Schizosaccharomyces pombe: one gene and its partners. Each later gene encodes a partner of the first gene's protein in a complex. Each region holds a gene or a part of one and is shown on either strand. Other genes may lie near its edges.

Evidence for each region.
Region 2: csl4 (region 1) and rrp46 share a complex: the UniProt entries of both Schizosaccharomyces pombe proteins name them as parts of the RNA exosome complex.
Region 3: csl4 (region 1) and rrp40 share a complex: the UniProt entries of both Schizosaccharomyces pombe proteins name them as parts of the RNA exosome complex.
Region 4: csl4 (region 1) and mtr3 share a complex: the UniProt entries of both Schizosaccharomyces pombe proteins name them as parts of the RNA exosome complex.

Annotation. Positions count from the first base shown.
Region 1 is NC_003421.2:2,276,226-2,281,875, reverse strand, and holds csl4 (exosome subunit Csl4), read right to left. Parts: upstream 2,609-5,650; 5' UTR 2,544-2,608; coding exon 1,998-2,543; 3' UTR 1,590-1,997; downstream 1-1,589. Other genes in the region: opt3 (OPT oligopeptide transporter family protein), read right to left, coding at 1-264; U6 snRNP-associated protein Lsm8, read right to left, coding at 3,573-3,663, 3,727-3,895, 3,950-3,974. UniProt on the Schizosaccharomyces pombe protein: Non-catalytic component of the RNA exosome complex which has 3'->5' exoribonuclease activity and participates in a multitude of cellular RNA processing and degradation events.
Region 2 is NC_003423.3:636,569-643,238, reverse strand, and holds rrp46 (exosome subunit Rrp46), read right to left. Parts: upstream 3,908-6,670; 5' UTR 3,866-3,907; coding exon 3,811-3,865; exon of another isoform or gene 3,728-3,810; coding exon 3,102-3,727; 3' UTR 1,896-3,101; downstream 1-1,895. Other genes in the region: ndi1 (NADH dehydrogenase), read right to left, coding at 1-1,553; AFG1 family ATPase, read right to left, coding at 4,221-5,585. UniProt on the Schizosaccharomyces pombe protein: Non-catalytic component of the RNA exosome complex which has 3'->5' exoribonuclease activity and participates in a multitude of cellular RNA processing and degradation events.
Region 3 is NC_003424.3:1,177,247-1,182,891, forward strand, and holds rrp40 (exosome subunit Rrp40), read right to left. Parts: upstream 2,695-5,645; 5' UTR 2,686-2,694; coding exon 1,963-2,685; 3' UTR 1,610-1,962; downstream 1-1,609. Other genes in the region: dihydroxyacetone kinase Dak1, read left to right, coding at 1-1,561; mug84 (pig-P phosphatidylinositol N-acetylglucosaminyltransferase subunit), read left to right, coding at 3,008-3,595; SPOM_SPAC22A12.14C (BSD domain-containing protein), read right to left, coding at 3,983-4,876, 4,921-4,971, 5,027-5,125. UniProt on the Schizosaccharomyces pombe protein: Non-catalytic component of the RNA exosome complex which has 3'->5' exoribonuclease activity and participates in a multitude of cellular RNA processing and degradation events.
Region 4 is NC_003423.3:3,885,622-3,891,431, forward strand, and holds mtr3 (exosome complex component mtr3), read right to left. Parts: upstream 2,697-5,810; 5' UTR 2,658-2,696; coding exon 2,543-2,657; exon of another isoform or gene 2,505-2,542; coding exon 1,846-2,504; 3' UTR 1,284-1,845; downstream 1-1,283. Other genes in the region: gamma tubulin complex GCP4 subunit Gfh1, read left to right, coding at 1-45; ubiquitin conjugating enzyme Ubc8, read right to left, coding at 391-945; uba1 (ubiquitin-activating enzyme E1), read left to right, coding at 3,075-3,080, 3,139-3,203, 3,312-5,810. UniProt on the Schizosaccharomyces pombe protein: Non-catalytic component of the RNA exosome complex which has 3'->5' exoribonuclease activity and participates in a multitude of cellular RNA processing and degradation events.

The DNA of each region.
Region 1 (5,650 bases):
AATTGCATCAATGTCCCTGACGGTAATATCGTAAACAGCATTTCCTGGTACTGAGGATTCTCTTTCAGTAATGTCGTCAACAAACTTTTCGTGACCAGCATAATTTATGATTTCAAAAGATTTCTTTTGCTCATCGAATTCATGAAATTTCGAGGCGATAGGGCTCGAGTTTTCTACGATATGGTCTTTGTTGTTTTCAACGCTTTTCGATTCAAGTCCTTTGAAACCACGAGTAACGTAAGTGATAAATTTTGGAGTTTTCATCCTTCAAAAATGAAATTGTTACTTAACCCAGGACCAATTTGATCAAAGTAATCTTTATCAGATCAGCAGCTTTGGAGAAAGAAATAAGACTATATTTATACGATTGATGTGCAAGCTGGAGTAATCGCAAGGGTTTCTAAAGGATACCAACAACGAATAATAAAAACCTGTGCATGAGTTCAAAGTTACGAATTATCTCCACATCTTTTTCATCACGTTTATACTCTGCACAGCGACAAGCCGACTTACGATGGTCTGGAAGTTGCTGCCTAGAAGCCTTCCCAAATTCAAATAGTGAGAATTGATCTGTTAAGATTAGTTGCAGCACGGTTTACTCACCATATGGCTAATTTCGGAACAACATCTTAACTCTCGCCGAATCACAAAGCTAGTAGATATAAAACCATTGCGCTCTTGCATTCCAGTGAAGACAGCGTATTAGAAGACAATCTCAGCCCATCATACAGTTACTGACAAAACGATCCGGAATTATAAGCTTCTCGAACAAATTATCTAAGATGGAATGAGCGACTCCAGATGTACTTTTTTCGGTAAATTTTCGTCATAAAGAGATGTATTTGTAACCAACTTTTATAGAAATCCTAAGCTTAAGATTGAAGAATAATCTGATAAGATAGTCATCTGATATAGTTAAACATCGACTATTTGAGGTAATAAGTATGCTAATGAAAGATGTTTTTGTCGAACTGATTATTGAAACCTATTATCATATGGAAAATAAAACCTTTCAATCCCTTTTTATGGAACTAGCCCAGAATCCATTAAAGTCAGTGTACCTGCGAATTGGATTTAGAATCCTCTATTTGATGTCATGGTAATGGAATATTTTGCAATTATAAGTATTTACAAACAAATATTAGGGATGAAGAGATTAAATTTGATAGTCTCACGCTGGAGTAGCTTAATGAGTCATGACAGCTATATACGGAAAAGACGGGTAGAATAGAAGCTCTCGTGCTTATATGAGAATCTGGAAACAGTTGTCTACTAATTAATTGATATAAAATATATCAGTCTAATGGCCGAAAGTAAAGATTGAGATGATACTTGATGTTTAGAGACAACCTAGTATTTTATAAAACTGTGTATAAAAAGTACATCCAATCCCTTAATGTAAAAACTGAAAGTAGTTTTGAAAAGTTACTGAGAGGTGTACGAATACTAATTTTCATGTCATTAAATACTTCATCCTTAAATCTGTGATCATAAATGTTATTTCAGGATATCACAGCCTCCAATGAAAGGTGCAATCCTCGATATTAAATTACACAAAATAACTTAATACAGTAACCTTCTTAGAAAGTTGTAAACATAACACATATTATTGCTAGAAACTCCTTATTCATGTTTTTGTTAATGAATTAGAGTTTATAAACAACCGACCAATTCAGTTCCATTAAGTAAATAACTTTAAGAAACTTCAGAGCTCCTGTCCGTTCAGTTGAATTACAAAGGTTCTCTATATCTTATAAAACTATACATTTGACTTCTAATTGAAAATGATATCGGTTTCGACAGCAAGTCACCTCAATCATCATTCTAATGAACTTCCAATATTTCTATATTCAATATTATTTTTATCCGTGTTCCGTATATTCGTATCATAAAATCTCTAACAATTTCAGAATTTTTTTTTTGTTAGGAAAGAACGAACCGAGAGGGAAAAAAAACTATCAGGTTATATCAAAACAAAGCAATTTTATCCCCTCATTTTATTCGTCTAATATAGGTTTAGCACATTTACGCATTTCCGTATATCCTGATTTTGTTTGCATATGCTGATAATCCACCGGAAACATTTGCTCTCCTGTTTCACTAGACTGAGCAAAAATCACACCAAGATCATTTCGAGCTGTTGTTAAAAAGTACGAAGAGCCGTCTCCAAGTGAAATTACAAGTGCTCTGACAATATCACCCGGTCGGAATGAATTTTGCACTTTGACTTTATTTTTCTCAGTAGCTCTAATATCCTGCACATGTATTACCCCTTGAAATTCATCTTTGGTGCAGACATCGTCAACGACTGAGATGTTTACAGTTGCTTGACGAGCATTGATCCTGCTGACGCGAGCTAAAACAATAGATCCGACATTAGGTAAAACGGCTGTCTCTTCAACTTTTCTTGGGTACGTTACAGAATTTTTCTCTGGATCAAAGATGCCAGTTCGTGTGGAAATAATATAATCTCCTCTCTTTACCGTTCCTTCACCGTTAGGAGCCCCTCTCGCGACCACCTGTCCAGGGAGAACCAAATTCATATTTAACGGCTTTAATAAACTAAAAATAAAGGAATCAAGTCCGTTTTGTATGGCTGTAAAAAATTAATTGAAAAAAAGTTGCTGTAAGCACAAAGGTCGTTGTAAACTGTAGGTTACAATGTAACCTAAAGTCACTGCTGCAGAAATTTCAGTTTATTTTGCTAAATTGAGAAAATGAAATTGCAAAGGCATTTAATTATCAAACAGTTTTTCTGCTCTTCTTTCAACAAAAATTTTTTCTTGATAATCCCAAAGCTTGGAAAGTAAGTTCACAAAACGATGCCAAAATAAAAAATCACTAAAAAAAAAATATGAGCAGCAAATATAATAAATCATTTTTTTTGTTTAACTCAAATGATCTTTGTAAATTGGACCATGATGCTGAAATATTTCTCAAGGTAGAGAAATTTTCCAGTGTAAACATTAAGCGTGACAGCAAAAATGAAGAATGTTATGCACAGTAAATGATATAAATTGTGATGTTTTTTTCCATATAATAACAAAAATCAATGATAAATATAAAGTCTTTAAACAAGTTGACCACAAATTTCAAAATCAAAGTGCATAAATCAAATTAAGGAAACAAAGGTATGTTAACGTTCCCAAGAATCATTTAAGAAAGATGAAACCCACAAAATAAGAAGAAAAATGAGTTTGTGATCCACAAATTTAACAAGAAACCAAGAATTTTTTAAATTCTGAAAGAACCGATGTCCTCGAACTCGGTATTTTAAACCATTTTTTTAAGTATTTTCGTTCAAGTGTCAACTCTTTGTCATCAGAATTAATCTACAACCTCAGTCATATTTTTTTAAAAAAATAAAGAAAGAATTTTCACTTCTTTCTACGAGCTAATAGCTTCCTGATAAAAGACATGCTGCAAGGTATGAATATATCGTGGAAAGCTTAACAAAATTTGCAAAGGATTCGCCCGCACAAAGAGGAAATATAACAAAAAAATCATTAACCCAAATCCTATGTAGCCTTAAACGTTTGTTCTCATTTGAAGTTTAACGTCCGGTTTTTGTATTAATGCACAACGTCAGGTATTGCTTCACCTCGAATTTTGGTCCATTCTATTTCTGAATCTAATTCCTCATTCACTAATCCAACCATTGCTCTAAAAATAACTATTAGATTATTGATTTACGTACCGCCAGTACAAGGCTCTGCGTCCACTTACACATTTTCTCCACGTAATAAATAAACGCCTAAAGGAATTGTTTCCATGTCTTGATCCATGCTAATAATTCTTTCAAATGAGTCTGAAAGTATAAGATTGGTCGTGTGATCGAATCCCTTCAGGGAACCTAGCACAACGCGACCATCGTTTGTAATGACTTGAACCCTTTCTAACGAACATCTATATTAGTCACTTCATTCTCTATTGAAAATTTGACACTTACGTTCCATAAAATCAGCAAGACTCATGATAAAGTGATTTAAGTATTAGTTGTATTACAGTATGGTAGTGCTAAACAAAAGTAGGTAGTCTTACAGCATGTATTTCAAGTGACATGATACTTTTTATAAAACATACAGCAAAAACAAAAAAATCAAGAATTTTAATAAACTAATCAAATTGAAAACACCTTTTTGTCTTAAAATTTTGAAGCTAACTTTGCTATCAATATAAGAAGTAACCCAATTATATTTTTAGTTTGGAAAGGAACACAATCTTGTGTCAAAAGAAAATTAAAGTAATTTGTGAAGCGCACGATTTTTAAATGATCTTTTGTTTTATTAATCAACGAAATTTATTTTGTAAAATAGATCTATTAAAGGAAAAGGTATTGAACATTATTCCAGCTATATCCGGCTCACGAATCCTTCCTCATCATTACAAGCAACCGTTCTTCTAACTAAAAATACCCGTTGTAAACAAATATACAAATCTTATGGACGTGGGGAATATAGATGTATATATTTGACTACAGTTATATTCTTGAATTACTTCATTTGATAGTTGTTGAGTTTAAATCATTGAAGGATAATTCTTCTTTTGAAGGTTTGCTTAAATAATTTGGAAGAAATAAGTATTTAAGAATTCCGTTTTATAAGAATTTTTTCACAACTTTAGATTGTTATCGATGTGCCTTACTATCTTAGTTTTTGAATGAAAAATTAATGACGGCTCGAATATAAAGGGGACGGTCTTCGCTCTTTATTCAGCAAAGAACGTATGGAATAGAAAGAATTTGTACTAAATGTGTCACCATAAGTGCGAAGCTTTAGGGTTTTTACATTATAAGACAAGTTAGATTTTTGTTTTAAAGGTGGCATTTAGAATATAGACAGATGAAGTTAAAGGGCGCAGCTCGTTTTCCTTGGCACTTTTTTACACTCATCTCAGTACTTGTATTATCTTCTCAAAGCAGCTTGGTAGTACAATTTTCTTGGATATTATCCCTATCTGATAAAATAAAGTTTCGCTAATAATTAAGCGAAGACTTACAACTTTGACGAAGCAGCACACAGAACTAAACCAGTAGATCATAGTGACTATAAAAGCAAATCTACTTAAAGAGGCTGAGAAATTGCCATCGTGAGTTTATTTATTTTCAGCTATATTCTTCAATGTAAATTTAAGTATTTATTGAGAAAAATTTAAGAAAGTTAAGTTGTTCGTTATAACGTACAGCAGCTACGAAAGGATATTTATACTACTGTCTCGCAAATAAACATTCTAGCAACTCATTAACATCATAACTTGTGTTGGAATAGTAGACAACTATGATGAATAAAATAAAATAAAAAGGGCAAGTTAGAAATCAGAAATTTATGCTTAATGTTTCATTTGGATTTTCGTTATTTCCAATGTATTCTGAATATACTCATACTTAAACACATATTGTTATATGTTATATTTGTTACATCAGGGGGATCGATATATCATATACTCCACAGTATAGCTAATTTATTTGTAACCCTTTTTGAAGAAATATTTATTTGGTATTGAGAATTAAATTAAATTTAAAGATTTACTATATCATAGCCTATTTACTCAATCTGTTCAAATGTTGCTTTCGCAAACATATTTTTATCAGTCACAATATAATGAAATACACATTTGATTTAAAACAATTTCAAAAAAAAAAAAAGGATGT
Region 2 (6,670 bases), on another chromosome or scaffold:
CTCCAAAAGGTGTGGCCGACAATTCCCTGCAAAGGCAGCATCTTTTTCATAAATGGCAATTTTAAATCGGCAATGGCCTTTTCATCTCCAACGTAAGCTAAAGCTCCTTGATGATGGTATTTAAAGGGCTCTAACTTCAACTGCTCCACTTGCTGTTTCAATCCGGCAACCTGAGAAGGAGCCTCTTTCTCACCTAACTGTTTTTCAAGAGCTTGAATCCGTTCATGCAATGCAAACTTCTTTCCTTCGACGTTCAAGTTCTTAGCCAACCAAGCACCTTGTTGGTTAGCAACTTGAGCAGTAGCAGGTAATCCAGAGAATGCGCAATCACCAACGGCGTACATCTCAGGTACACCCTTGACCCTAAAAAACTCATCAACTATTAAACCTTTGCGCGCACCGCTTTGTTCAGGGATAGAAGACATCAATGTACGAGTGAGTGGACGAGCAGTAATGCCGGCAGCCCAAACGAGCATTCCGTAGGGTATCTCTTGCATAGCCTTGCTTCCGTCAGGGTTGGTCTTTTGAACGATAAGGTTCTTCTCATTAACATCTTTAACCACGGTTTTAGTCATGATCTTAATGTTAAGATTTTTGAATAAATTCTCCGTATACGTAATCAAAGATTTAGTAAACATGGGGAGAACACCGGGGGCAGCTTCAATTAACGTGACATGGATGTCTTTTTGAAGCTCGGGAAACATATCCTTAACGTCGTTATCAATGAAATCTTGCATCTCAGCTGCAAATTCCATTCCAGTAGGGCCACCACCAACAACAGTGATGTGTAAGAGACGAGCCCGTTCCTCGGGAGAAAGATCTTTATTGAATCGAACTTGTTCCAAGATTTCAAAGATGCGGTTAAACACCTTCTTGGCATCTCCCGCTTCTTTCAGAAAACAGCCATGGTCGCGGACACCCTGGATACCAAATGTTTGATTACCAGCTCCAATAGCAAAAACAAGCGTATCATACGGAATAACCGCTTCCTTTCCCTCGTTAGCTTCGGTCGTACCACGAATGGTAACTTTCTTAGCCGATGTGTCGATGGCAGTGCATTCAGCTTGGTGAATGTTGGAGGGATCAATTTTTCCTTTGAACAAAGCCACAATGGGCTCAGTAATACTTGGAAGTCTCAAAGTACCCACGGTACATGAAGGAAGCATAGGGGTGAATAAAAAATGGTCCCTAGGGCTCACGAGGGTAATGTTGTACAAGGACGGGTCCAAATTTTTGATTGCCGCGACTGCACCCCATCCAGAACCCAAAACAACTATGTTCTTTTTCGGAACACCAGATTTTCCTTTTGGCGAACTGTTGTTCAGTCTTCGTAAGGATTGGAAGAGGGCTACGGCACCCAACATGGACAAAGAAGAAGTAACTTCCGCCATTTCAAGTGCTCGAGAGAAAAATGATTTGTTACGGGGTGTAGGAACATTCCCACTGTTCTTTACAGCACAGGATACATGAAATGAACGAACCATCGTTTTTGAATATGGCACTGTACGAGACAGGCGAACCACAGACTGTAGTCTAGCTTTTGAGACCGACATTTTTTAAGAAAAAAGAAGTAAACAAATTTCCCCTTAAATAGGACTAAGTGATAAGTGGTAGGGAGGCGTGAGTAAAAAAATGTATGAGATAATGACAAATGTTAAAGAGCAAGCAAACTAAAGAGATAAACCCATTCAAAATTGAGCTATTTTACGATATTAATAGACAGTAATAGAAAGAGAGAACGACAACCTTGAGTCCTCTCCTAAATACACAGTGAATTACTATAACTAGCAGAAATAAGCCTTTAGAACTGCGAAAAAAAGGTATCCAATAATAGTTTTACTAGAAAAAATTGTAGTGTATTCTAAAATACCTTCTACTTTACAGAAAACGAGTTTTTCTGCTTATTTTTTTTTTAAGAAGAGATGGGGGAGTGTTGAATGTGGACGAAAGGGCTGCATAGCTGAACATTTTGTATGTAAACAATTAAGGTCTACGAAGCGCCCTAATTCCGTCATCACGGTTATTCATATCAACTTGATTGGACTCGGCAATCAAGTGTGCTGTGAGTGGGGAAAAATAACGCGGAATAAGGTTATCCATAAAAAGTATTACGTGGTAAGAAAAGAATTGCTAAATGTTAGCAACGCACTGTGTTATCACATTTAATGTTACATTGGTAGTGTATGTTATTTGTCCTAAAAAAAGTGATATGGGTGACAAATGCTATAAATTTTGTGGCATGAAGGGTGTAACTCATCGTTGAATCAGCTTATAACTGGACTGAGAACCGGGTCAATTGATCTCTATTCATAAATTGTAGCTAATAGTACCTTCAATCAAAAGTATTTAACTAAATTTATAACCGTCATATTTGGCGAACACATAAAAAAAAGGACATGTGAAAAAATATTAATACCTGCTGTAGTATAATATTACTACATTAGATTACTTTTTAGGAAAAGTTGTGCAACAGTAATTTTTTAGTGTATGGCAAATTCCCAGTTTATGAAGGCAATGCTTTGTCCTGGGTATGAATGCCTTTTATTCACTTTTCTACCTATTTTACCTTCAATGATTTCCTAAACTTAAAATTCAGTAGTATATAAGACAGCTAATGTGTGCGACCTTCCTATGTGTTTTCAAATCGTTTCTCTTAGTTAACAGCTTGATACGTTAGATAGACTCAATATGTATAGAGTAAGTGAGTGAGTGGCAAAATTAAAAAAAAAAGTCATGAGTGTATATACCCAAGGCCTTGTACTGAACGATTGTCTTATGACAGATCTTCTTTTATGATTTAACCCAAATGTATCAGCATACATTGAAGTATTGAAAGAACACATTAATTGCTAGTGAATTGAAAGAATGACAGTAAACCTTCTAATGTAGTAGGATTGTTTAGGTTCTGGTTTCTCAATTAGTAATAAACTAAAATAAATTAAAAATAACCCAATGTATATCGCCCAAGTAATATAAAATCTAAGTATAAAAATGAACAGCCAAAGATATTGTTCAAAGGTATAGTCGTTTAACAGGTACAATGGTAAATACGAAACGAAGGTCCTTGAGATGGACTTTTTACATGCACTTTATTGATTTTCTTATGCAACCACATCCATCTCAACATCCTCTTTGGGGTTCTTTTCATTTTCATGACCATCGCTCTCGTTGTACGTTTCAAAAAGCAATTCTTTCATTTTCTTAGAAACTTCCTCGGCATGCAATGGTGCTGTCTCCAGAACACGGAAAAAATCTTCTTCTGGAATGGGGCCAGCTGTTTCGAGAAAAATTAATTTGGCTGGTTCTGAGGAAATTGAATAACAAATAGTAATAATAGACTCCAATTTGTTAATTGTCCCATCGACATCAGGTTCATCTTGAGTTATTTTGTTCTTCCAGTGACAATTTATTGCACAGGGAATATATTTTAAAGAGATACCTGCGTCCAATAAAGCAAGTACCGCACCATTGATTACGGCAGCCAATGTATCTGTGCCATCTTCCTCTATTATCTGAATTGACACTTGTATAAGTGTTCTTGGATATGTGTTTAGAAATATTGCATCTTCTAGGATACCAACAATTCTGCTAGAAATCATCTTTTCCAAAGTCTCAGCGACACCACTCACAGGTTGAACCAAAACTTCAACGGTGGCCTTGTTAAGCCTTTCGTCCCTGATTTTTACATCAATAGGACCATTGACACCACAAATAACCCTAGCAGAACCTACAATGATGTTAGCATAAAGAAAATTCATTTTTTTTTAATTGGCATTTGCTTGGCTAATATACCGTGGATAATAGCATTACCTTGTTTCCATTCGCTCGAGCCATCAGACCTTGAGAGGATACCTATACGGTTCATTTCAGCTTCTATAATGCAACAAAGTTGCTTGCTTGCAGAGACAGAAGAAACGTTTCTACTTCCTTTGCACAAGTAGGAAATAAGCTAGCTTACACCTCGTTATTCGAAAACAGAATGAGAGCAGAAAAAAATGTATCAATAGTTTGGTGACAATGGGAGTTGTATTAATAAGGGTTTGTAATTAAATTCTTCCAATTTTTACTTTACTAAAGCTGAATGATAGGAGAAACTGGAATGATCTGTAACAGCCCAACCACTAAAAAATTAGAAATTACTCATAGCCATCTTTCAAAATATTTTTTTAAAAATAATACATCATGATATATAATCTCATTATAAAGGAATCACCTTTGTATTAAGGAGAATGAATCCAGGATTGTTTTTTCATTTCTGAAAGTCTACTCAAGCAACGCGTGAAGGTAAATACCTCTTCAATCCCACCAAATGCTCCATGATAGTGAGATTCAATTTTCCCCTTGGCAGCAGGATCAGCCGTAGAGGAAAGTACTTCAGAAGGTGCTGTCGGATATATTTCTTGAACTGGAACTTCAGATGATAAGATGAGTTTTCCATGGGTGTCATAAAGGGCATCAATAAATGTAATGAACCTATGGATAAGGTCTTTCGACTCGATACTCAATTTGGGAATGTCTGAAACGATGAAAACATGGTAACGGCTTGCCAATGAAAGATAGTCGGCAGCGCTTTTCGGTTCTCCACATAATTGTTCAAAGGTGAACCATGCAACGTTGCCACTTGCTTTTGGAACGATTATCTTTCTCCCAAATACTTCAACTTCGTCTTGGTGAGCAGGATCTTTCTCATCAGCGTAGCAAAGAAACCAATTTTCCAAGGCTTTCTTAACTTCTGGGCTATTAGCAGGATAAAGATATGTATCTTCTGTTTTAGATTTTAGGCGTCGGTAATCGTTTGGACTGTCCAAACAAATTACTTGAAGACGATGTTCCAAAAGTTTAATGCAAGGAATGAAGCTCTCTCTTTGTATTCCATTTTTATACAAATCAGAAGGAGCCCTATTAGAAGTAATAAAGATAACAACACCATACTTCATAAGGGCCTCAAAGAGTCTGCGTAGTAAAAGAGCGTCCGCGACATCGGTTACCTGTAATTCGTCAAAACATAGCACTGTTGTTTCTTTTGCTATTCCGGATGCAATATGATCTATAAAATCAATCTCAAACCCATAACGATCTTGCAAATCATGTGAAGTGCGATGAACTTGCATCATAAATGCATGGAAATGAATGCGCTGAGAACGAGTAACATTGGGTGGTAAGTTGTGATAAAATAGATCCATCAAAGCGGTTTTACCACAGCCCACATCACCATATAGATATATACCTTTAGGCATACCCGGTACAGGTAAAGAAGAAGTTAGAGTGGGAGACTTCTTCCTAGAAAACATTTTCTTTAAGGGGGATATCCAAGATAGGATTGATCCCTTTTCAGCTGGCATACTATCTTGCGTTATTGGAGGTTGTGTATACGATTCCAATTCGGTATACAAACGGTTGATTGCTTTAACCGCTGTTTCTTGATACGGGTCACGTTTCCATACGCCGTCATTAACTTTCTTGTTGTATACTTCAATAGGTGTATTATGAAATGTGGTAAAGCGAACTACCCTGCAAACTCCAATGCTTCCTATAGTATCAACAAAAGCAAAACAAGGAGCTGAAACACGAAGCACTTGCAGCATGATGATATGACCAAATTAAATACAAACTTTTGAACAAAAATAATGTTTCGTAAGCTAACTAAAGTAAAGAAAAAAAGTGGTTATTGATCAATTAGTGAATTCATTCAGGAATGATAAAGTGAGAGTGGATATAAAGCTGTAGAACGATTGTAGATGAAAAGCAAAAGATTAGAAAGAAAATATGTCAACTACAAGACGTACTTAGTGATTAAAGACATATGTTTTTAAGTGAATAAATATAAATCGTTGGACAGATGCATGATTATTCTTGCCTCTGAATAGCGTTCGGCAGTGCAGTTTGCTTTTATTATAGTGAATTGCGATGATTTCGGTATATGCGTTTGCGTATTGTCTTAATCATGAGCAAATGTTAATCTGAAACTAGTAAGTCAAGCCTATTTCGTTGGTAAATAGAAACCTGTTCTTAATAAAAAAATTTCTTGTTTAAAAAATTTTAAATTTAATGGAACTAAGTATAAGCAACTATACTTCCATACGATCCCAGATAGGTGGAGTTATTCTGTATATTAGTAAAAAAGTTAATCGCATGGAATTTCAATAATACATTGGAACTCATGTTATTAAAGTATTATTTATTTCTTTTCCATTTTTTGTATATTCAACAAACAATGGCAACTTTATTTTTTGTACTCAATTAAAAAGTACGAGAATAATATTAATTTGGTCAATATCAAGTATTGCTTCAGTTTGTTAATAAGTTTGACAATTGATGTTAAGTGATTTTAAGGAAATCCCGAAGAAAGAAGTTCGTATCGATAGTGAATTTAATTGGTGCTGTAGAGTATGTTTAGTTGAATTCCGTTCATTAGTTTCATAACTATTATTCCAGCAAAACGCAGATATTTATAAAACGCCTATATACGTATTTTTTGTGATTATTTGGTTTGGCTTATTAATATTTCTTATGTTTATTCTTATTTTATTTTATCTTTAGTAGACCACAAACAAATAAATGAATTATATATTAATATACTAGTGTTTACACACAGCTACTGCATGAAGTTATGATCTTGTATGTGTAACAAATGTTGTTAAATGATATATAAAAAAGGAGGGAAATTCTT
Region 3 (5,645 bases), on another chromosome or scaffold:
TTCGTTCGTGGGCAAGGGTATGCTTACTGCCGCCGTCTCAGGCTCCATTTTTGCTTCTCCTTCGTCAAAGCAAATTTATACCGGTATTAAGCAAGTCGAATCTGAGGCTGGCACCTTGGTAATTTGCAAAAACTACACCGGTGACATCCTTCACTTTGGTATGGCCTTGGAGAAGCAAAGAACGGCTGGTAAGAAGGCTGAACTTATTGCCGTTGCAGATGACGTATCAGTAGGTCGTAAGAAGAGCGGTAAGGTCGGACGTCGTGGTTTGTCTGGTACTGTTCTTGTTCACAAAATCGCTGGTGCAGCTGCCGCCAGAGGGTTACCTTTGGAAGCCGTTACGACCATTGCTAAGGCTGCTATTGACAATTTGGTTAGTATCGGTGCTTCACTCGCTCACGTTCACGTCCCTGGTCATGAGCCAATTGCAAAAGAAGATGAAATGAAACATGATGAAATGGAACTTGGAATGGGTATTCACAATGAACCTGGATGCAAGCGTATTTCCCCTATTCCCTCTATTGATGACCTAATCGCTCAGATGCTTAAGCAAATGTTGGATCAATCCGACAAGGACCGTGCCTATGTAAAGATTGAGGGTGACGATGAAGTAGTCTTACTTATGAATAACCTTGGTGGTCTTTCCATGCTTGAATTCAGTGCCATTAGCCACAAGGTGAAGGAAGCATTGGCTAAAGAATACAAAATCAACCCCGTTCGCATCTTTGCCGGTCCATTTACCACCAGTTTGAATGGCTTGGGTTTCGGTATCACTTTGCTCCGTACCACTGACCGCGTCAAAGTCGAGGGCGAAGAATACTCTTTGGTTGATTTGATTGACCAACCTGTTGAAGCTATCGGATGGCCTTTGTGTCAACCCTCTGACTTGAAGTCCAAAAACAAGATTGGCAATGTCAGCATCGAGGAGGGTCAGAAGGATGTCAAGTCTCCCGTTACTGTCGATAAGGAGAAGGTTCGTCAGGCGATTGTCAATTCGATGGAGAATCTCATCAAAGCAGAGCCTAAAATTACAAAGTTCGATACGATGGCTGGTGATGGTGACTGTGGTACTACTTTGAAGCGTGGTGCTGAAGGTGTTTTGAAGTTTGTTAAATCCGACAAATTCTCTGACGATCCTATTCGTATTGTTCGTGATATCGCAGATGTTATTGAAGACAATATGGATGGTACATCTGGTGCTTTGTACGCCATTTTCTTCCATGGCTTTGCGAAGGGCATGAAAGACACCTTGGAGAAGAGCAAGGACATTTCATCTAAGACATGGGCTGCTGGTTTGAAGGTTGCTCTTGATACTCTTTTCAAGTATACTCCCGCTCGTCCTGGTGACAGCACTATGTGTGATGCTCTTGTTCCATTTGTCGAAACATTTGTTAAAACTAATGATCTTAATGCTGCCGTAGAGGAGGCTCGTAAAGGTGCTGATGCTACTGCAGATATGCAAGCCAAACTTGGACGTGCTGTCTACGTTGGTGATGATGTTAAAGTTCCCGATGCCGGCGCTCTTGGTGTCGTTGCAATTGTCGAAGGATTTACGAAATAATTGGATACGAAATTTTTTTGGGATTGTAGAATTGGTATGATCTTAAAAACTATTTACGAGCACGAATAACAATTATATTTTCATTATGCATGCATTAATTATTGCTTACTTATCTTTGCATCTGTATTTGTATATTCATGCATTATAATAAGTAATTTTTTAATTAAAACAGTTGAGAAAGGACGAGTGTAGATATTGTATGAACACGCTGCTGTAATAAATAAAAGAACGACAGAAATTGTATGGGAATATTAGACACAGGCATTAAAGAAGAAACAATACACTTTATTCAGAAATGGTCCCTCCTAGATAAGGGCAAACCATTTTTGAATTAAACCCAATTGGACAAGAATTGTTAAATAGACTGTGCATATTATTCAAATTTTTTTTTCTGAATCTCGTTAGAGCTTTTTAATAAGGTCTTTACAGTACTTTATTTGCTCTTCATCAGACATGAATTCGCAATTTCTGATAGCTGTACAAATGAGGACCGTAGTAGAAAGATTTTCAGAATTGACCCAAACGCGACCATTCATTCCAACAGCAATTTCGAAAGGAATGTAGCTTCCTAGGGTCTGTAAAAGTGTATTTTTAGGAAGGATCAACTTCCTACAATGAGATAAAGATAAACCTGTTATCATATAACCGTTTTTAAGTTCACCATATCCTGCAGCTTTCCCTGTGGTAGCATCGAAACATTCTAACTCCGGTTCCATATCACGATCAGCGAGTGATACTCGAGCATACACAAGGCTTCCAACATTTAAATTGGGCCTACTTTTACGAGTCACATTTTCAAAAGCCAATGCATTCAATTGAGCAATATGAGCTGACCCAATATCTACTCGATAACCTTCCGCAAATCTAGAAATAATTTGCCCAATAACTTGATCATTTGTAGCAGGAATATATCTTTTTGTCCGTGAGTCTATCAACATAGCATTTTTTCCAGTTTGATGCAACCTCCCAGCTTTTGAGACCACTATTTCTTCTTCACGGTCTTTCTTTTGAAAGACTAAACCAGGACCTAAACGAATTGATCCATCCTGACTAATTATGGAGTCTGGTATCCGCTCACCAGGAAAGTAATAAGATAACAGACCTTTTTCTTCAACTTCAGCCATTTGGTTAACAGAAGAAAATTAGCTATTTGGGGTTTGATTTTTCGCGAGTTATACACTATAATTCGAGGATTAATGTCTTGGACGGTAAGTGTGTCTAAACTAATACTGTAAATCTCGTTAATTTTATAAATCACATTAGCCCAGACTGTGAAAAATAACGCAAACGTACATTGTGCTATAATGCTGTTTACGAGGATTTTCTGTATGTATGTCGTTAATAGGGATATCGAATTTAATCACATCGTAAGCAGACGTAGTTGTATTTGTATCATCTCAGTACGCGCTCTCATCTAACAAATGCACATAGTAAACACATGTTTGGATGACACTTACTCATCATTCCACGTTCATAAAAGGGATAGAGGGTTCTGCTGAAGGAGAGATAGAAGATGTAAGGCAAACTACTGTTTTTGATCCTCCGTTTTACGGACATCCGATGTTGGTTCCACCGTCGCCATCTTTGACTACGATGTTTCGAACGAGGTCTACAACGCCTGATGAAGAGGGAACTGCCATTGCAGAAATTGATCAACAAGATTGGGATATAATGGTAAAAGTTCCTACTTATGAGTATTACGGGTTCGTGATGTATTTGGTGTCAATGTTGGGGTTCGGCGTGTATATTGTTTGGGCTCTGACGCCTGCGCCTGTTCTCAAATTTTTTGAGATTCATTATTATCTATCTCGTTGGTGGGCTCTAGCTATTCCTACTTGGTTATTTGTTCTTGTTATTTACATTCACGTTGTGCTAAACGCTTACAATACCGAAGTATTGACTAAGCCATTTAGCAGCTTAGAATGTATCGTTGATCAATACGCACTCGTTGGTGAAGAAGATGGTGCTGCTCATGGTCGAGTTGTTGATCTTCGCCTATGTGATGTGAATAAACAACAACTGGAAGAAACTTAAAAAAGACTAAAAGCAGCTAAGTGATATCAGAATTCATTTTCTCCTTAAAAATCTTCATTATTTAAGGGACTTATTATCTATTGATGTCGTCGACCCATACAGATTTACTTTTAAATCCTGGTTTCCTTAAGTTTCACAATCAAAAAGTATATGTAAATGTATAATATTATAAGAAGGTTGATTAATGCTCTAGTCCTACTACTCCAACCTGCATACTCAAGATTAGATGTTTTTTATATTCCGCTAATAATATACCTAAGAGTTGTTCGTAAACAAAATGTTTTCAGACAAATAATTAGCTATACGAACAAAACACACCAAAACAAGTAAATGAATAGAAGAGAAGTAAAAACAGTATATCTCTTTTTAATAGTTTGACGAGAGTCGTTATTCCCAGTCATCATCGTCTTCATCATCGTCATCAACTTTTCTATTTGCTTCATCCTTCACCTCAAGAGAACTTTGAGAAGCTTCTATATTACTGGAAGATGATACTTTATTTTCCTCTTCTTCTTTAACTTCTCCATCAACCTCTCCATCATGGCTTGCGGGTTGAGTTTCAATTTGTAAGCCTTTTGAAACTGCTGACTCCAAATCATTGACGGTTTCATCTATCACTTCAGCTGCTGAATTATTCTCAGTAGTATCTTCTTCACTTGATTGCTTTTTTTCATCATTAACCTGTTCATTGTCACTTTCTTCTTCATCACTTCTTTCATCTCCCCAACTAAAAATTTCTTCTTCATCGTTTCCTGATTGAATTGCCTTTATCGGCTGTACAACCTCTTTATGCCAAAAAAATCGTTTCCAAAAATCATCATAAGAAACTTCAGAAGGTACTAAAGATTCCATCTGTTTCCTTAAATCAGGATATTCTTCCAAAAGTAAAGAGATCTCTTCAGTTTTCCCATCAATGGAAATTTCTTTTTCCCAGCTTTCAAACGTGATCCCATGAGAGGGTTCAGAGATAATTTGGGTAAAAGTATTTTCGTTTTGAACAAGTTCCAACAACTGTCTCTCGTGGCGATTTAAGAAAACAGACGAAGAGGCTTCGTGTGTAGGAGTCGATACATCGTCTTCTTTGGGTGATATCTGCAATGCTTGATCCAAAAAACCATTCACTGTAGATCCGAAGCCACTCCAGAAACTTCCTGCTGTTTCTTCTACTTTTCGCAAGTTTTCCATAGCAGAATTAACAGGTATATTTTCTTCAAGCTGTGATTTTAATTGCTGCATTCCACTTGAGGCTTTTCCCTTTGTATCATCAAGAAAGTTTTCACTCTTTGAACGGTTAGTAACAATGCCATTATTCGCAATCAACACACCTTTTCTTTCATTGAGTTCCAAAACAAACCAAACTTTCCATTCGTCAGATTCTGTATAAAATGTCAGTAAATTCCGCGCCGTAAATCATCATAAAGGATAAATTACATTTAGAGCCGAACCCATTTCTTCTTTCAGTTTTTCGTATCCCTCTTCATCATCTTCTTCTGTAGTGGTTGTAGGTGCCATATAATCGTACAAATCCATTTTGAATAGTTTAAAAGAAAACTTATGTACTTAGTTGTTAGAATAAGCTCACATGTGTTTGGTAGCAAACAAGCTATATATGTTGTACTTGGCAGCAAGTGAAGATATTGTATAGCCTACCGAATAGTGACACGATTATGCTCGTATTCTGACTATGGACACTTATACTAACTTAGTATACTTCCAATAATACTTTTTAATGAAAAAGGCATTACACAATCCACTACAGCTTATTTTCGTCCAAAAAACAAATTCTAAGTTTTTGAAGTAAAGCAATTTTAAAATATACACAACACCATAAAATTTCACCACTTTGCACTTCGACTTAATCAAATGAGATGTTTTAATAAATAGAATACTTTTAAAACTATATATAAAAAAGCTGCTACTCACAAACTCAGGTAAGTATAAACACTAAGATAAAAGAACGATTGTATTTATAATAAAAGGAATTAGTACCCAATGCTATAAAATTTGATAAACATACAGGGTCTTTATGATTAACTACCAATTATTGTCA
Region 4 (5,810 bases), on another chromosome or scaffold:
GATAGGGAAATAATTAACGCGCTGATTGTTCAGCTTAATTTATAGGTAGATATGATCAATGTATTTATTTAATATTTTTTTTCTATTTTATTTAAATATTAGTTCTCATTAACTATGCATCATGGAGTTATAGTCGTAAATTATGCTGCAGTAACTTGAAGCTTCAAGAAAATAAACCTATTAAATATCGTTGTCACGACTACTGATTGAAAGCAAATTCAAACGGGTTTTGCAAGCGACAGCATGCAAAAAGAATCATTCAATGCATCAATAGAAAAAAAAGTGTAACAGATTTAGCTATCCATCGGTTTATTGAATGCCACAATCAGTATCCATAAAGAGAATTCAAAAAAGAATCAATGTATATCAAACAAAGCAACGTAACGAAATTTAAAAATCAGAGTCCATTGGACCAGCAATTTCATCGCCAGATTCAGTGTCAATAGAAGACATGGTGTCATCATCTGAAGAGTCGTTCAAAGTTATATCAGCGTCTTCTTTATTAGCATACCGAGCGATATAATCTCGAACCTTGGCATAGTAGGTATTCGGCTCTCGCAATAATAGAGCTGCTGCCTCTCCATTTAGAGGGTCCGACGCATTAGGATAACGGAGTAGCTGTGGAAGAAAAACCTCAAAAATATTAATCATATCAAACATTGGAGACCAAGTTTGATTTATCACGTCCAAGCAAACACTTCCACTAAGCTCATCGATATTGGGATGAAATATACGATTTACAAATCCAATACTTGGAGATTTCCAAGGATACTCACTTGGCAGTTCAACATGAACTTTCCATATTCCACCTGAGTAAGGGGTTTCAGACGGTCCATGGAACCTAACGTAAAATTCTTGCATATTATCATTGACAAGAGTTACCTCGTAATCACTCATCAGCAGCTTCATAACGTCCGTCTCAATTCTGCGCCTTGGGCTCGACATTTTGATTTTTTATAGTTTTATTTCAAAACTAAAAAAGAACTCAATAATTTTAAGCTAGTGTAGTATTCAAATACGGTAATTTGCTGCAATAAAGGCAAATTCGCAAATTCAGCAGTTTTCGAGTAATTTTCAATAAAATCAAATTATTTTGGACTTTTGGAAAGATTCTTAGCTTCCGTTTTAAATGGTTCTATCCTATTGTCCGTGAATATATCAAATTTTTAAAAGCAACAACTAATAATCATCAATGACCTAATTTAAATGAAAGCAATTTTATTGTATAGAAGAATCCCCTCTTTATCGTCCTTCTTATTGTTAAATATATTTTAATTTACAAACGAGGCAATTGAGCATAAGTTTGGCTATGATGAAGACGCGGAATTTCGCTGATTTGGAGGTTATAAGAAGCAGGTAACAGTATGTGAGTAACAATGATTCTAGTACTACCAAGATGCTTTCGTCTCAATGCAGCTTGATAAATTAGTATCAAATATATGTATTAATAAAATCTCAGCATTTGTTTTGTTCTATTGGAATCGATAAATAGACTGGAAAAAATTGGAAAGAGTTAATCGTTTGGCTACTGAATATATTCGCGAGTGATAAAAACTAAGATCTTTAATTTAATATTTACTCGTATTTTTCATAACAAACGTAACTTGCGGATGGCCAAGCTGATTTCAAAGAAGAAAATCTACTTAGGGAAGTCATCTGCTTGTTTGTCGAGAAAAGATAGCGTCTCCCTTCAAATGTGTGTTAAGGAAAAAAAGGCAAAACTTGAGCATTGCCAACTAATAGAAGAGAATTTTAAAAAGAAATAAATTTGATTATGTAATTTGTAAAATTGGTATAAATATTAGCCATCAACAGAATATTATTATAGAGGTAGAATTCCAATATCTAAGGATCTTCGGATTTCGACTTCTCTAGTAGCAGTGCATGATTAATTACTAACCGAGTATCTTTGGCATTCTTTATGCATTTTTCCGTCAAAAACGAAAGGCGACTCGGAGAGCAAGTGCCTCTTTCCCATACTTGAGTAACGTGACCAAGAGAAGCCATGTACCCCATAACTACAGAACCTTTAGCAGCCCTTGCACGCTCATCCACATAATCAGGATCAATCCAATATTCATCCGTATTGGGATTAAATAATACACTCGAGCCCGTCACCAAATCTATGCAGTCGATGTTAGCATCAGCTATTGCACTTGATGCGCAACTTATAGCAGCAGCCAATGTTGCTAATGCACCGTCACTTTCAATCACTTGAATATAAACGTCTATAGAACTTTTCGGATACAAATGCAGTAATATACTTGGAGAAATTGCTGCTTCAATCATTTGGGAATAGCTTTTTTCTTCGACGGTTTGTACATGTCCCTGACGAACAGAAGTAGAAAATGGGGATAATCTAAATTCACAATTCAACTTTGCTGATGAACGAAAAGCAAAAGTCTTACTAGGTCGAGGACCAGAGACTGTGCATGCAATTTTTATTTTTTCTGATTCAAAATAACTGCTACCGACAGCTTTAGTAGCCCACCCTAATTTTAGATCTAATTGTCAGTGAAAATGTTAATAATCGGTATCTTACATATTTTTCGACATCTGTCAACATCACGAGTCCGCGTGAAAACAGGTTGTTCTGGCTCTTCAAAATAAGGGGGAACGGATACACTCGGTCCATACACTCTCTTTCTATCTGACATCGATTTATAGAGTATTTGTTTTAACCTTGATGTACCGTTAAGAAAACAATACAGAAGCAGCCTGGATTTTCAGTGGTGGCTTCGCGTTTTGGGATGACGCGTTTGCATGCCTTAATATATATAACGATATTGTTTGATTCGGTGTATATATGACATATAGAAAGCAATTTTATCGCATCTAAAAGATTTTTGTAATGACTAAGCGTTTCAATCAGTAAGCTGGAAAATAAAAATGCTTTTAGAATAATGGTGCAAAATTTTTTTTTATCCAGCCAGCATACTTCAAGTGCGCGCTCTTAAATTTAATGAGTAATAAATTGTTAAGCATGTGTAACGAAAGAGCTCGCTATTTGAACATATAAAAACACTATATTATAGCCTACGTATGACTCTCCTCTGCCAACACCACGTTTCGTAATGAGTGTATGTAATTTGTTTAAATGATTCAAGTATTTTTCGCTTCTTACTAACATTGCAAAAGAATAACATGAACATTGATCAAACGGATCAAAATACTATCGATGAAGGGCTTTACTCTAGACAACTGTAAGTTTTATTAGAAACATGAAGAGTCATTATTACCGGTGTTGATTTGGTTTAGCTTTATGTTTTTATATTCTTTCTTGTACTGAGCGCTTGCTAATTTATCTAAAGTTATGTTTTAGGCCATGAGGCTATGAAACAAATGAGTCAGTCGAATGTCTTAATCATTGGCTGCAAAGGTTTAGGCGTTGAAATAGCAAAGAACGTTTGTCTAGCAGGTGTAAAAAGCGTTACTCTTTACGATCCTCAACCTACACGCATTGAGGACTTATCATCACAATATTTTCTTACAGAAGACGATATTGGTGTTCCTCGTGCAAAAGTAACGGTATCAAAGTTAGCAGAGCTTAATCAATATGTGCCTGTTTCTGTAGTTGATGAACTTTCAACAGAGTATCTAAAAAACTTCAAATGCGTGGTTGTCACAGAAACTTCTCTTACGAAACAGCTAGAAATTAACGACTTTACACACAAAAACCATATTGCTTATATTGCTGCTGACAGCCGTGGTCTTTTTGGATCGATATTTTGTGATTTTGGTGAGAACTTTATTTGTACTGACACTGATGGAAATGAACCTTTAACTGGAATGATCGCTTCAATTACTGATGATGGAGTTGTTACCATGCTTGAAGAAACTCGTCATGGATTGGAGAATGGTGATTTTGTTAAATTTACCGAAGTGAAGGGTATGCCTGGTTTAAATGATGGCACTCCTCGTAAAGTTGAAGTGAAAGGTCCATATACCTTTTCTATCGGATCTGTTAAAGATTTAGGAAGTGCCGGTTACAATGGTGTCTTTACCCAAGTTAAAGTTCCAACCAAAATATCTTTCAAATCTCTCCGCGAATCGCTCAAGGACCCTGAATATGTATATCCTGACTTTGGTAAAATGATGAGACCTCCACAATACCACATTGCTTTCCAGGCCCTTTCAGCATTTGCCGATGCGCATGAAGGTTCATTGCCTCGACCCCGTAACGACATTGATGCAGCTGAATTTTTCGAATTTTGTAAGAAAATTGCAAGCACACTTCAATTTGATGTTGAACTCGATGAAAAACTAATTAAGGAAATTTCATACCAGGCAAGAGGTGATTTGGTTGCAATGTCCGCGTTTTTGGGCGGTGCTGTAGCACAGGAAGTGTTGAAAGCTACCACCAGTAAATTTTACCCATTGAAGCAATACTTCTATTTTGACTCCTTAGAAAGCTTGCCATCTTCTGTAACGATCAGTGAAGAAACTTGTAAACCTCGTGGCTGTCGATACGATGGGCAAATCGCTGTTTTCGGTTCGGAATTTCAAGAGAAAATAGCTTCTTTGAGTACGTTTTTGGTTGGTGCTGGCGCTATTGGATGTGAAATGCTGAAAAACTGGGCTATGATGGGTGTCGCTACTGGTGAAAGTGGTCATATTTCTGTTACTGATATGGACTCCATTGAAAAATCGAATTTGAATCGTCAATTTCTCTTTCGTCCTCGTGACGTCGGAAAGCTGAAGTCCGAATGTGCTTCTACCGCTGTTTCAATCATGAATCCTTCATTGACTGGTAAAATAACTTCATATCAAGAACGTGTTGGACCAGAAAGCGAAGGCATATTTGGCGATGAATTCTTTGAAAAGTTATCTTTAGTCACGAATGCTTTGGATAACGTCGAAGCTCGAATGTATGTTGACCGCCGTTGTGTATTTTTCGAAAAGCCATTATTAGAGTCTGGTACTTTGGGTACTAAGGGTAATACGCAAGTTGTTGTACCTCATCTTACAGAGTCGTACGGATCATCCCAAGACCCTCCTGAAAAGTCATTTCCTATCTGTACTTTGAAGAACTTTCCTAACCGTATTGAGCACACCATTGCATGGGCTCGCGATCTCTTTGAAGGCTTGTTTAAACAGCCTATCGATAACGTTAATATGTACCTTAGTTCTCCTAACTTTTTGGAAACTTCATTGAAAACGAGTAGTAACCCCCGTGAAGTTTTAGAAAATATTAGAGATTATCTTGTTACGGAGAAGCCTCTTTCATTTGAGGAATGTATTATGTGGGCCCGTTTGCAGTTTGATAAGTTCTTTAACAACAACATTCAGCAATTACTTTTCAATTTCCCTAAGGATTCTGTAACCTCCACTGGCCAACCGTTTTGGTCTGGTCCTAAGCGTGCCCCTACTCCATTATCTTTTGATATTCACAACCGTGAGCATTTTGACTTCATAGTTGCAGCAGCCAGTCTTTATGCATTCAACTACGGCCTTAAGAGTGAGACAGACCCAGCTATTTACGAACGCGTTCTTGCTGGCTACAATCCTCCTCCCTTTGCTCCCAAGTCTGGTATTAAAATTCAAGTCAATGAAAATGAAGAAGCTCCCGAAACCGCTGCTAATAAAGATAAACAAGAACTGAAATCGATTGCTGACAGTCTACCACCTCCATCCTCTCTTGTGGGTTTTAGACTAACTCCGGCAGAATTTGAAAAGGACGATGACTCTAATCATCACATTGACTTTATAACGGCTGCATCAAATTTGCGTGCCATGAATTACGACATCACACCTGCGGATAGGTTTAAGACGAAGTTTGTTGCCGGTAAAATTGTACCAGCCATGTGTAC